Mytilus edulis: one gene and its partner. The main gene of each other region encodes a partner of the protein of the gene in region 2 in a complex. Links are inferred from orthologs where the notes say so. Each region holds a gene or a part of one and is shown on either strand. Other genes may lie near its edges.

What was found. Proteins that work in one complex are often made in the same cells at the same time.
Region 1: transcription initiation factor TFIID subunit 5-like (region 2) and TATA-box-binding protein-like share a complex: the UniProt entries of both Caenorhabditis elegans proteins name them as parts of the TFIID basal transcription factor complex. The link is inferred for Mytilus edulis from reciprocal best matches to the Caenorhabditis elegans genes taf-5 and tbp-1.

What each region holds. Positions count from the first base shown.
Region 1 is NC_092346.1:58,840,903-58,847,957, forward strand, and holds the start of TATA-box-binding protein-like, read right to left. Parts: upstream 3,003-7,055; 5' UTR 2,680-3,002; coding exon 2,596-2,679; intron 1,944-2,595; coding exon 1,756-1,943; intron 1,343-1,755; coding exon 1,163-1,342; intron 67-1,162; coding exon 3-66; intron 1-2. UniProt on the Caenorhabditis elegans protein: The TFIID basal transcription factor complex plays a major role in the initiation of RNA polymerase II (Pol II)-dependent transcription.
Region 2 is NC_092357.1:14,766,159-14,773,314, reverse strand, and holds the start of transcription initiation factor TFIID subunit 5-like, read left to right. Parts: upstream 1-4,135; 5' UTR 4,136-4,214; coding exon 4,215-4,313; intron 4,314-7,098; coding exon 7,099-7,156. UniProt on the Caenorhabditis elegans protein: The TFIID basal transcription factor complex plays a major role in the initiation of RNA polymerase II (Pol II)-dependent transcription.

The sequences.
Region 1 (7,055 bases), on a different chromosome or scaffold from region 2:
ACAGCAAATCCAAGTTTCTGTACTATTCTTGCATACTTTCTGGCTGCTAATTTTGCCTGATCTTCGCTGTATAAGAAAAACAAAACAATATAAATAATACAACACGCTACATACATCACAAAATGTTTCACATATGAATCAGTTATCTGACATTAAAAATGAAATGAGGTCATTCACAATCAGTTCTAAAAAAACACTTTTTTTTAATATATAAAGTAAACGATTCAACAAAAAGTGTTGATTCTTTATCCCAAAATAAAACAGTATAAATAGAGGTTGATTTTCTTATACATTGTACATGTACAAAATGTACCTTTGAGTTTTAAGAGAGCATTTGATATTCCTACTAAATAAAAGTTTACTCTGTGATAAGAAGTGAAGAATGAAACACATACATGTACATGTATGTCTAAATGACAAACAACTGATGGGAGACAACTTATCCTCCATGAGATCCATTAATATACCAATTTGTATGATTGTAGATCAGGGTTGTGTTCAATATTGTAGCAGCTACTAAGGGCTATGTAGATTTATGACTATTGAACGTGTAGCCTAGCTGCTACATAGATATTGATAGCAGCTAGGCTAGCTACTCGTTCAGTAGACAACAATCTATGTAGCACTATGTAGATCTATGTAGCTGCTACGATATTGAACACAACCCTGATAGTATTAGGACTAATATAAGATGCATATCTTAGGTCTTAGTCAGTGGCTAAGTGGGGTCATAGTTGACCAACTTTTGATGAAACATTGGTTCAATGTTAATTCTTAAACATGCCTTCTAAGTGTCTTTACAACATATCATATAGGACAATTAGTTTCTGCCAAAAACAAAGATGTTAATCCTGATCAATTTAACAAGTTACTGTTTTGTGTCAGAGTTCGCTTTGGTGTCTTTTTTATGGTTTGTGCTTATGCCATGTACATTTCCTGCTTAACACCACAGTCATACATGGTAGAAACATATATTAATTGTATTTGCTAGGAGAAATGCTCAGCAACTTTCAGCAAGTCTAAATGTTCTTCCTATTTCTAAAGCTGATACAAATAAATTTGATATTTTTCCATAATGTTCCAATATGATATTAATATATATTGACAAATTGAAATACATGTAGGCATACTTTAAACAAATTTACTCAACACATTTATTTACCTTTTGGCACCTGTACACACCATTTTTCCAGAGCTAAAAATTAAAGCTGTAGTCCTAGGATCTCTTATTCTCATAATTACAGCGGCAAATCGTTTAGGATTGTATTCTGCATTTCTTGCATGTAAAGCTATTTTTTTCAAATCGAGTTTACAGCCCAGATTTACAGTACAGACAATGTTTCTGAAAGAAAACAGTATGTTTGAGAATAAACCTGCACTCTATATAATATACATTTTGCACATGATTTACAAGTATTACAGTAGAAATATAAAATGTATTACATTGTGTGGATTTCTGAGATAAAGAAATAGACATAAAAATGATAGTAAAATAAGTCTCACATATCAAAATTATCTGGTTGTGCATATTGTACTTTGAAAGAGGGTAGATACATGTATCATTAGCTACATTGAAGACCTGTTGGTGACCCTCTGCTGCTGTTGTTTTTTATTTGGTCGGGTTGTTGTCTCTTTGACACATTCCCCATTTCCACTCTCAATTTTATCTATCACCATTTGTTCATGAGAAATGAGACTTTACTCTTCACAGAAGTTAACCAAAGTTAATGATGTCTTAATTGTAAAGCAGCTTACTGAAGTTGAGGTTTTAAAGGCATAGTTCCCATGCCTTCTGATGCTGGTGTAGCTGGTGATATAGGTGTCATTGGCCCTCCTGGATTAGGAGTTGGTGGATACAAACTAGCTGTGTTTGATGGTGGCATCACTGGATTTGGAGTAGAACCAAGACCAAAATTACTCATTGCTGGTGACATCATTGGACTCTGAAATAAATGTAACAATTTTTCAGTAGTTTCAACCAAGAGATATAGTTTTGACATGGTTTTACAGATACTTTGAACATTGTTTTTGTGTCTTCACCTTTTTCCTTACATGTTTTTGAGTGGATTTCTACAATGACTCTTTTTGATTGAGAAAGAAAAACCAATTATATAAATTATACTTGGAGTCAAAAAAATAACTGGCTGATTGCCTTTCTTTGTTTACGTATACATTCATAATGAAGTCATAAATAAAATTCCTAAAAGGACCAACGTAGCATACATGTACATTTGTAAACATTATTTTAGTAGTCAGTCATAAGCCAAATCTTAATTGGTTAAATGACTTTGCATTATTTGGCAAATTATAGATCTTATATTGTTTATTGGGAATCTGTGTCTCTTGAAGCTTTGACATCATACAACAATCACTTTCACTTTGTGGCGTCAAAATATTATATCTTGTAATTTTGTAGGAACCCCTGTGATGTCCTGTAAATTAAGGCGAACAAACAGTAATATGATGTATTAAGTAAGTAAGTAAGTAAGTAAATTTTATTTAGAGTCGGCATATATATACATTATAACAGAGAAAACATGAGCTCTGGTGAGCTCTTTAACCGACTGTATTGCAAATTATTGGTCCAAAATTTACCTGAATTGACTGCATAGGCGACTGCATAGGCTGAGGAGTCAAGCCAGTGCCATATGAGGCAAAATTCCCTTGATTTGGATCCATTTTTTCCCTCTTCAGCTACTATTTCAATTTCCTATTCGCTACCAACTGAAAAGTGGTGTTCGTTGTGTTAAGGCGGTGGAATAATTCACCCAATTATTGGCATTGCACCGAACACACTCATTTTTATTTTTTCATGGGAATTTTAATCGACACAATTGGTTAGTTCTTACAAGGTAGACTATTCTTGTCGGAAAAATTCATAGGGAAACTATGTGCAGTTCAAATAGGCCATGGAACATCACGTTGTCGGTCTTTAGAGAGTTAACAAATAAAGTCAGCCGCGGAAACTGTCGCCTATGTTCATAAGAAAAAATCAATCGCTTAGAACATCAAGAAAATGCGAGGACATAAAGTTAATGTTTAATCGCCACATATAATTTTCGCCCTTAATAAAATTTTATTTGTTGAGTGGAACATGCCGATTAGAGCGGACGTGAAAAGTGAATGGGTGTGTTCGTATGCTTTATTACATTGTACTTATTGTTTTGGGAAAGCATGGTTAACTTTCTGGTAGTATGACCCGTCACGGCAAGGCTGGGAAACTGGATAGGCAAATCCTCACATTAAATCTGTACCGATACATTGTGTTAAATGTCTTCCTTTTTACACCATAACCCATGGTGGTTTTCTAACTCAAGTAGGAAGATATAGAACATACATACAAAAATTATTTCCTCTGTGTAACTAAAGGGCCAAGTTTATTATAGATAGAGAAAATTGTAAGTAGCAAGAATGTTCAGTAAAGTAAGATCTACAAACACATCATGAACACCAAAACACAATTTTGTCATGAATTTATCTGTGTCCATTGTTTAATATGCACATAGAACAAGGTGAGCGACACAGGCTCTTGAGAGCCTTTAGTTTTTGTAGCATTCATTTTTAACATAATTTCAACTGATTCGATTTCAACATTCAAATTTTCTTTATTTTTCTTTTCAAAATTCGCTTTTAACATTCTCTTTCAACATTCACCATCGTTTTCATCATTCAACTTTCAACATTCGTTTTCAACATTCCGATCCCAATTCGTTTTCAACTGTGATCAACTGTAATAGGAGTTATCCGGAATAGCTATATACCCATTATGAGACGGACGGACGGACGGACGGACGGTCAACTACATCTACACGTACTTCGTGGAATTAAAAAGGTCTATAAGACCCATAACGCACTCTAAATAAGTCATTCAATATTGGGCTCATTAAAAAACATGTTTACATGTTGACTACTCTGTTGATGTGAGGCTATTCTTGGATGTCTAGTATAATATATGCATCTTCTATATGGTAAGAAATTACAGGAGTAAAACAAAAACGCTATACAAAACATGAGACCATCATCAGAGAAAAAGAACAATTTTTAGAGATAGACATGAGAAACAGTAATAAACTAGAGACTCTTAAGAGCCTGTGTCGCTCACCTTGGTCTATATGTGCATACATGTATTAAACAAAGGACCGGCACAGACGGATTCATGACAAAATTGTGTTTTGATGATGGTGATGTGTTTGTAGATCTTACTTTACTGAACATTCTTGCCACTTACAATTTTCTCTATCTATAATAAACTTGGCCCTTGAGTTACACAGAGGAAAATGTTTTGTAAAAATTAACAAAAAATTATAAAATTATAGTTGAAAACGAATTGGGATCGGAATGTTGAAAGTTGAATGATGAAAACGATGGTGAATGTTGAAAGAGAATGTTAAAAGCGAATTTTGAAAAGAAAAATAAAGAAAATTTGAATGTTGAAATCGAATCAGTTGAAATTATGTTAAAAATGAATGCTACAAAAACTAAAGGCTCTCAAGAGCCTGTGTCGCTTACCTTGTTCTATGTGCATATTAAACAATGGACACAGATAAATTCATGACAAAATTGTGTTTTGATGATGGTGATGTGTTTGTAGATCTTACTTTACTGAACATTCTTGCCACTTACAATTTTCTCTATCTATAATAAACTTGGCCCTTTAGTTACACAGATGAAAATATTTTGTAAAAATTAACAAAAAATTGTAAAATTAATGAAAATTGTTAAAAAATGACTATAAAGGGCAATAACTCTTTGAGGGGGTCAACTGACCATTTAGGTCATGTTGACTTATATGTAGATCTTACTTTGCTGAACATTATTGCTGTTGACAGTTTATCTCTATCTATACTAATATTCAAGATAATAACCTAAAACAGCAAAATTTCTTTAAAAATTACCAATTGTGGGGCAGCAACCCAACAACCCATTGCCAATTCATCTGAAAATTTCAGGGCAGATAGATCTTCACCTAATGAACAATTATACACCATGTCAGATTTGCTCTAAATGCTTTGGTTTCAGAGTTATAAGCCAAAATCTACTTTTTACCCCTATGTTCTATTTTTAGCCATGGCGGCCATCTTGGTTGGTTGGCCAGGTCACCGGACACATTTTTAAACTAGATACTCCAATCATGATTGTGGCTAAGTTTGGTAAAATTTGGCCTAGTAGTTTTAGAGGAGAAGATTTTTGTAAAAGACTACAAAATTTACGGAAAATTGGTAAAAAATGACTATAAAGGGCAATAACTCCTTAAGGGGTCAACTGACCATTTTGGTCATGTTGACTTATTTGTAGATCTTACTTTGCTGAACATTATTGGTCTTTACAGTTTATCTCTATCTATGATAGTATTCAAGATAATAACCGAAAACGGCAAAATTTCCATAAAATTACCAATTCATGGGCAGCAACCCAACAACCCATTGTCCAATTCATCTGAAAATTTCAGTGCAGATAGATCTTCACCTGATGAACAATTTTACTCATGTCAGATTTGCTCTAAATGCTTTGGTTTCAGAGTTATAAGCCAAAAACTACATTTTACCCCTTTGTTCTATTTTTAGCCATGGCGGCCATCTTGGTTTGTTGACCGGGTCACCGGACACTAGATACTCCAATGATGATTGTGGCTAAGTTTGGTAAAATTTGGCCTAGTAGTTTCAGAGGAGAAGATTTTTGTAAAAGTTAACAGATGTCGCCGGACGACGACGACGACGACGACGGACGCAAAGTGATGAGAAAGGCTCACTTGGCCCTTCCGGCTAGGTGAGCTAAAACACGTCAAAAATCACTATATGAAAATTGCATGAAGAAGAAAACACTACTATATAAAACCACCTCTCAATAAGTAAGATATGTGCTGCCAAAAACATCCATTGGGTTTTTAAACCGGCACACAGCACTTTTACATGATATCTGCATCTACATAATACTTCTTAACTTTAAGTATGTTGAAGATTACAAGAAGGCATTGACATTGATGCAAAATTATTGTAGGAGTCTAAAGCATTGAACGTGGGAACACTCATAATCGAGTATATTAATTGCTCACAGAGACTATATTAGTTTAGCCATTCCGTTGACTGAGAAAGAGATGGATGACAACATTTTAGTCGAGGGTTGATAAGAATTATGGAATACAAGTTATACAACTAAATACAATTGTTTGTATTTGAATTAATTCACATACTGCTATGTGGAGACTTCAATCACTTGGAAAGATGATCCACTATAACGATATTTTTTGCAAAAATTAACCAAACGAAAAACACTTGATTCATCTCAGTCTGGACAGATTTAACTATATTTTCGTAACGAAAAAGATCAATATAGAATTAATCGTGACAACATAAGGATCTTAGATCAGTTTTTTTGTAGATATGAAACCCGAAAGCACATTGCCTTTTAAAGCCAAAAATCAACAGAAAACCGGTAAGTAAAGTCGACAAACCCATATCAGTCATTGTGAGGACAAAACGGAAAAAAAACCACAATCTAAAACATATCAAATAACCATATCAAATGGAGTTAACCAAATACTTCAAACTAGCAAGCCAAGAAAAATATATTAAATAATGGGATCACAGCAATAGAATAATAATCAATGGACAATTATGCATGCAATTAAACTATTTTTTTAAAAAATTGTCTGTCTGGTATTTTCTTATTGAGTACTTTTAAAAGTAAATGCTGCAATGCAATAGACATAATCGATAACTAAGGATTGTAATCTGGTATCCTTCTCTCAGAGGTTAGATCACAACAAGGACAAACTTTAAGGGACATTGGCTAGGCGAGCCTAGATGTAGAATAGAGAAAAAACGAAGATATACGAAACGCTCTTACAAGATGACGTTGAACGGTTATAGGATTACACGAATTACATAACACCCTGTAGGGGACCCTGTAGCCCTTTTCACCAAAATATTAAGCGTAAAATTTATCGTAAGTCTAAAATATTCCATAACAATTCAACTAAATATTTTTATCGTAAGATTAATTTTACACTTTCATCAGTAGGAGTTAGTCAGTAAAGTTTGGTGTGATCTGTTATG
Region 2 (7,156 bases):
CATGGAGACTTCCACGCAGTAGACACCAATTCTTCTTCTTCCTCTTTCTTCTTAAAAGATAGTTCCCAAAGTTGAGCCCTTGATGACAAAATGTTGTTGTTGCTTTGTGTTGCTGTTGTTGTAAGTCGTGTTGGATGACCATGACAACATATTGTTGTTAAAACAGCCATGTTTTCAGTCGAAAGCATGGTACCTGGTCAAACTAAGACTTTGATCACGTGACCACGCTAATTCATCATCATCGTTTTCATCATCATCATCATCAATAGGAGTTCTCAACTGAACACATGGTTGCAATACCTTGGTCTATAGCTGAACACATCAATTGGAGTCTTAAAAATAAACGATGGCAACGTCTACTTAGACCTGAAAGTAAACAAATGTACATGTAGTTGATTAAACCATTAACCCTAATAACGTTAAAACTTATGGATATCTTGCGTTCAATGACAAAACAGAATGCAATTGTGTAGAGTATAATAGTGTTTCATATTTTCAATCACGTTCAGTCTTCATTTCAATTACTTTAAACGTCTAAGACTACAAATCAAGAAACTTGGGGGTTGGAACAGGCAAAATGATGTTTTGAGATTTTTCAGGAATGTATTGTACTATTCTGATGCAGTCTGCACCAAAAACTTTTTCAACTACTAGTCCGAAGACCAATATTCCGACATTTTTCTTATTGGTCCAAACAAAGTTTTGCAAAAACTTACTAGTCTGAAAGAAACTTTACTAGTCTGGGGCATCGGATTAGTGGCTAACCGTGCAGACTGCAGTGATGAACCACTCGTCACATGATTGGGAGCATGTTTAAACCTGCCTTATTCTGCAAGTGCCTATGCAAAGTCAGGAGCCTATTATTTAGTGGTCCTCGTTTGTTGCGGTTACATATTTCATTTTCATTCATTATTTTTTACATAAATTGGGCCGTCAGTTTTATCTCATTTACATTAGTTATTTCGGGACCTTTTATAGTCGACTGTGATATGGGCTTAGCTCATTGTTGAAAGTCTGATGGTGACCATTGTTATTAAATTCTGTCATCTGGTCTGTTATGACGAATTGTTGTATCATTTTGTTCTCGTTCTTCACAGGACAAATGAATATATAACAAATGAAGGAAATGACACAAAATTGGCTGGATTTGCAGCTACTTCACTACTGAACCAAGTAGGTTTATAACGAAAGTGAATGTTGAAAATCTGTTCACTTGTTTGACAAGTTATGTTATCCACGTTCCATTGATATACACCTTTTCACTACATTCCCATCTGAAGTGTGTTGGCTTTGTTCACACAAAATATCGTGCCTCAAACTTTTCATTCAGAGGCATCATTTAACCGTTGTTTACCCTAACAAAACATTTTTATGGACTTAATTCATCTATTGACAAAATTTCATCCATGTAACAATAATGCCAAACTCGCACTATCATTTTCTGTTACTGATCAGATGACAGTGAAATTAAGGTCAAAACTAATTTGACATTAAAATCATATATTAATCATGTCATATGGTAGATGTGTAACCTCAGAAAAAACTACCTTGACCAAAAAATTGAGCAGGACGGACAGACAGATTCACAAACCGAACAAGTTAATGGTCCTAGGTTGGGCTTAAAATTCGTTCTTTTAACTAGCAAAATTTCAAATGGCCACTCTTTTCTCAGCTCATTGATGATGACTTTAGTTTTGTTCAACCATCTCATCAGCAATTTGTCTTGGTAACAATTCCCCCTGGAAAAGACTAATTAGCGAAAAGGTGTATTGATCTTTTGGAAATGGTCCAGATAGTTCACAGTGCATTTCTTTAGACAATATAGGAGAGAGGAGAAAAAAAATACCACCTGCACTTTCTCAATATAATTTATTTAGTTTGTACTACTACTTTTAAGACAAATTATATCAAAATTATAGAAATAGGCTCCAAACTGAAATATTGACAGCTTCTCAAGTTCTAATTTATAACCTTTTTCAGCAGGACCAAATTAAATCACTACTTATACAAGCTAATATAATTACCTTGCCCTCATCTTCCTCCTTTTACGCTTCAACCTCCTCATACGCTTCTTACGCCACTGAAAAAGAGAAGTCCAATGTAAACTTGATATAAAATTTTACCACTCATAACGAGATTCAATATGGCTGAACAAATTAGACGGAGGTTTACAAATGTAAATAGGATAATGTTAAGGAAATAAATACTCAAACATACATAGGTACATCATATCCTAGAAAAAATATGAAACGAAACAAACTATATCGTTGAAGGCCATTGGGCGACCCATAGTTAATAATTGCTATGTCATTTTGAATCCGGGTCCGTTTGCCCTGATTCATGTTCGCCCTAGTACCTGTTCGCCCTGATTATTATTTTTTTCTAATTGTTGTCTTGTCGCATTATTTTAAGTATTTGAACAAAATATGTTAAAGTTTGTTGAAAAATTGACAGAATATTAATATTGCCGCAATCAATTTATCATTTTCCCTTTGATTTGCAGAGTAGAATACTGGAATACAATGTATTTATCTTTATTGATATTTGTTAACAAAATCATTGTAATCAGTCAATCACGAAAGTATGCAGTATAAATTATTGTCATAATGAACTTGTAAATCCGTTTCATAATTTACAGTTCGTACATCATTGGTTTTATTAATTTCAAGCTGAATATTTTATTAAAATAAAACGTTTGTTTTTATTATTAATCCATCAAAAGACAAGTTTCACAATAATCAGTTATCCGAATTATTTTGTCATTGAACAATTAAAGATCATAAACAAACCATAAACTTTTAAATATTTCAATGTTTCCATAAATTTCAAGAATATACATGATATATATATACCATAGAAATATCTGAATAAGTTTATTCAACTTAAACTAAACTATACTAAATTTTAGCCCTGAATATTTTATTAATATTTTTATAGTAGGGCGAACGGACTCTGGGCGAACGAACCTAGGGCCAACATGTTATTAGGGCGAACGGTCCCGATACCTGTCATTTTGGTCTTTTGTGGAGAGTTTTCTCATTGGCATGGATTATTAACAAATTTTTGGAAAATAAGTGAAATTCCAAACGTTTCGAAGGGGAAAAATCTGTAGCTCTCATAGTAAATATATAACATTCAGACCTTTGGCTACATGTAAGGTTCCGAGGCCAATATGAAAGATGCTGGGTTTGGGAAGTTTTTTGGTACTTGCCACTCAAAATTGGTTCAGCAATAAGGTGGAAATCCAGTTACTTTTGAAACACGTGAAACAATTCAACTTTGAAAATTATATGGCTTTCTTTGAAAAGTTTTGGGGGAGGGGGTAGTCATAAATGCGCACTAAACGATGGTTCGTTGATTATGACCATTACCTGGCAGAAAAGGGGGGTCAATTTCTGGAATTGCTAGGCTATCTTAGTATTCAATTTAAGCACACGCATTGTAAATATGAATAATAAATATAATAGATATTGTTGAACAATTGGTTACTACAAGACACGAGATGTGTTGACAGACACCCACGGACTTCGGCTTCGCATGCTGCACCAGCAGTCCACATGGTCCAAGTTTTACGTTCAAAGACCTCAAATTAAAATTTATACATCACGAACAGTTTTGCCACATATCATTAGAACTCTGATATGCAGTATGTTGCAATTCACTAAGTGTCACAAATGAACTTTCTCCCCGCAACAAACAACATTCATCAATGGTCGGACGTAAATGCGTGTTATCCGACATGTTTATGTGCAAGACTAATTCGATAAAAAATATTAAGTTACATGCTTACCTTTGCTCTCATCTTGCTATATTATCTGAAAGAGATGAAAATACAACTGTAGAATAACAAATTAACAGAAGATGACAAAAAGTTAGAGTGATTCAAATGGATTTGTTTTTCGAAAATTTCATACGACCTACCAGCAACACGAAAGCGGAAGAAAGGACATAGCCTATGTTCAAAATGGGTTATTTAGCATTAGGAATAATCTATAAAATAAACATATAAATGATATCAATCACATGCAAATTCGAAACAATAAATATTTTTCTGAAATATAATATGCATCTACTTTTAGTTTATTTATTTGTTCATTTTATTTTTATAGAAAATTTAAAGACTATTGACTGGTACCTTCCAATCCTATACCTATCTTCCCTATGGTGTGTGAAGATGCGGACGGTTAACAGATTAAGCGAAAACCACTTTTAAAATGAATAGTTTACAGTCACAGTCTTCTCCTAAATCAGATGTTTCAGACAAACAGACACTATTAGCTGTTTTACAATTTCTAAAGAAAAACAACTTAAAGGTCGACCAATCTATATATCTTGATCAACTTCGTATATAATTAATTATGCCCGCTATTTCGCCCCTGTTAGTGGTAACTTGAAAATACTCTGAAGTCAGTTTCCCAAACCAATAGCCTAAATAGTCAATACAGGTCTAAACTAACAGTACATTACCTTTTATCCTAACTGAACTAAAACTTTTATTTTAAACAAACCACAACAAAAAAGATGAGCCATAGGCCTAAAGTATTGTGTAGTCAACTGTTCTCGTAGTAATCATTTCTCGATAGCAATGTGCATGGTTAAAATAAAAGTAGTACGCGAAATCGCTCATGTTTTCTATATTTGTTGGTATTTCAAGGACAGAATAAAACTTGCTTCAAGCAAGCATTAAATTCAACATTTCAAGTTTTCAGACATTTTACAACAAACAGGCTATTAATATTATTTGAACTTGGAATTATTTTTAATTATGGAATTTGCTTGATTTCGTGTTATTGAAATTTTTAATAAATTCCATGTTTAGTCTGTACTGAAATGTTCTGTGCTGCGCACAACACTTTCTATTTAACAAAGAAAATAGTATATTTTTAATAGAATGTACTGTGCTGCGCACAACACCATTGTATGGAAAGTGTTATCAAGGATTTGTATAGTACTATACAAATCCTTGGTGTTATTAACCGCTCAAAAGATCATAATACCAAATAAACATGGAATTTATAAAAAAATTTAAACACAAGAAATTATGCAAATTCCATAATTAAAAATAATTCCAAGTTCAAATAATAGCCTGTTTACAGTAAAAATAATATTTTCTGATTTTAGCCTACTTTTCCTTATTCCCTCAGTTCATAAATAGCATGTTTTCAAATGTAAACAAAACTTAGCTCGAAAAGAAGGTCAAGTCCACATACATACATGTAATACACAATTGTAAGATCAGGGATGATTCCACTATATAGTTCAGGGCCGCTGAGCGGCCCTTAAATTGGCCAGCGGCCCCCAAAAAATGTACATGAAAATGAATTCCCAATTCAGGAAAATAAAATAAAATCGATATTTCAGGAAAAGTTTCTGTCACCGATTAAGGCAACTATAATTTTTCATAGTTTGTTGTCAAAACGTTTTAAAATCCAGATAAGAATGCTGTTTACGGTCGCATCTTAGTAACAACGATTCAATTATGTCAACATGTGGGAAACAATTTAAACAGCCGAATACAATTAATTGATATGTTATGGTAGTATTGGATCTTGTAAAAGCAGATCGGCCAGCAGGTTGATAAAAATGGGTGTCAAAGCAGACCTCGGCAGAGAGCAAATTCAAATATAACATTGATGGATAAGGTTTAATGGACGCCGATCTCGTAAAAGCAGATTGCCCAGCAGAGCCAGTTATATAATATGATGAACACTTGTTTTGTAAAAGAAATTATTTCCTCAAAAGACAAAAGTTTGAGCGTTTTTTGAAAATAATGTTGATGATAGACCATTCATGAAATACGATGTCATCATTATTGAACTATTTCAAAAGTTTTGAAGATGATCCAAATAATTTTAAAGAACACTGGTTCAATGCTTTAGATATCTTATCAATCAAGTATATGAACCTTTGTAAAATTTTTGCTTTTCTGAATTCGACAATTGACCAGTTCAATTTGAAATCCATTTGAATTCAGGTAAATTTATAGAGATGACCTGCTGTTGAAAAAATACCTGATGAATGATTTTTTTCAATGGTTAATGTTAGCTGAAATATATGTTTTTATAATAGGCCTAAGTAACTATAGCTAAGATGATAGACTAGTGCATCATGTTCAATGATATTCATGTAATAACAGTAGCCCATCCAGAATTATTCAAAATGTTACAACTTACATGAACATCAGTGTACAGACATGACAGGTTAAACTTAATAATATACATTTTCCGTTTTTCAGAAAAATAATGTTATTTCGTCTTAGATTTTATGCTTAAAAAATTCCCAATTAGAATAAAAATTCCCAATTTGATGTTCAAGGGACCCATTTGAAAACACCTGGAATCATCCCTGAAGATATGGTGTGATGTCGCTATGACAATCTTAATATCTTTGTTTTGTTTATATTAGACCAGTTTATTGTTTACATGAATTAATAAGTTAAAATTAGAATAATATTAGTTTAAACATATTTATTTATAGGATTGGGAAACAAGTTATGGTAACTTATATTAATCCCTTTCCACTTTGCGGGTGCGAGTGCTGCCTTGTAGAGTATTAATTCCTGGTTCAAAACATTTGTGTAAACATTCCATGTAAATCAAAATTTTATTCATTGTCCATACATTGCAAACAAATAAACACAAGCTCTGGTAAGCTTTTAAAATTGACATTATAATACATTACACAGAAACAAAATGACATGCATTTAATAAATCACTTATTTTAGCATGTGTTCATTAATTATCCTGAATGTTGGAAGTTTGCTTTGAAGAAAGGTTTCTGAAAGATTTCTGAAAATTTCAAAATTTTTTGATCAGGGCATATATTGTACTAGTTGCGGAACCATAGCTCTTAGGTCCTTATGCTATTTTTTGACTATTTGGGGACCGTAGCTAATACTGTAGGTCATGTGAACCTTCAGTCCAAAGGTCAATATTAGGTTTTTACTGGTCTACCAGTCTGCATCGTTATCAAATAGTTCAATTTCCAAGACTAGTAAAACATTACAAACATTTACTATTGTAAGTGGTAAAAACCCTATATAAAAATAAGGAGATGTTGAACTGAGTTGTGCAAAGTTGTTCACTTTTATTGTTGTAGTGTACAGAAGAGTTGTTAAAGAAAGAGGCTGGGGTCACAGATGATGATGTTAAACCAC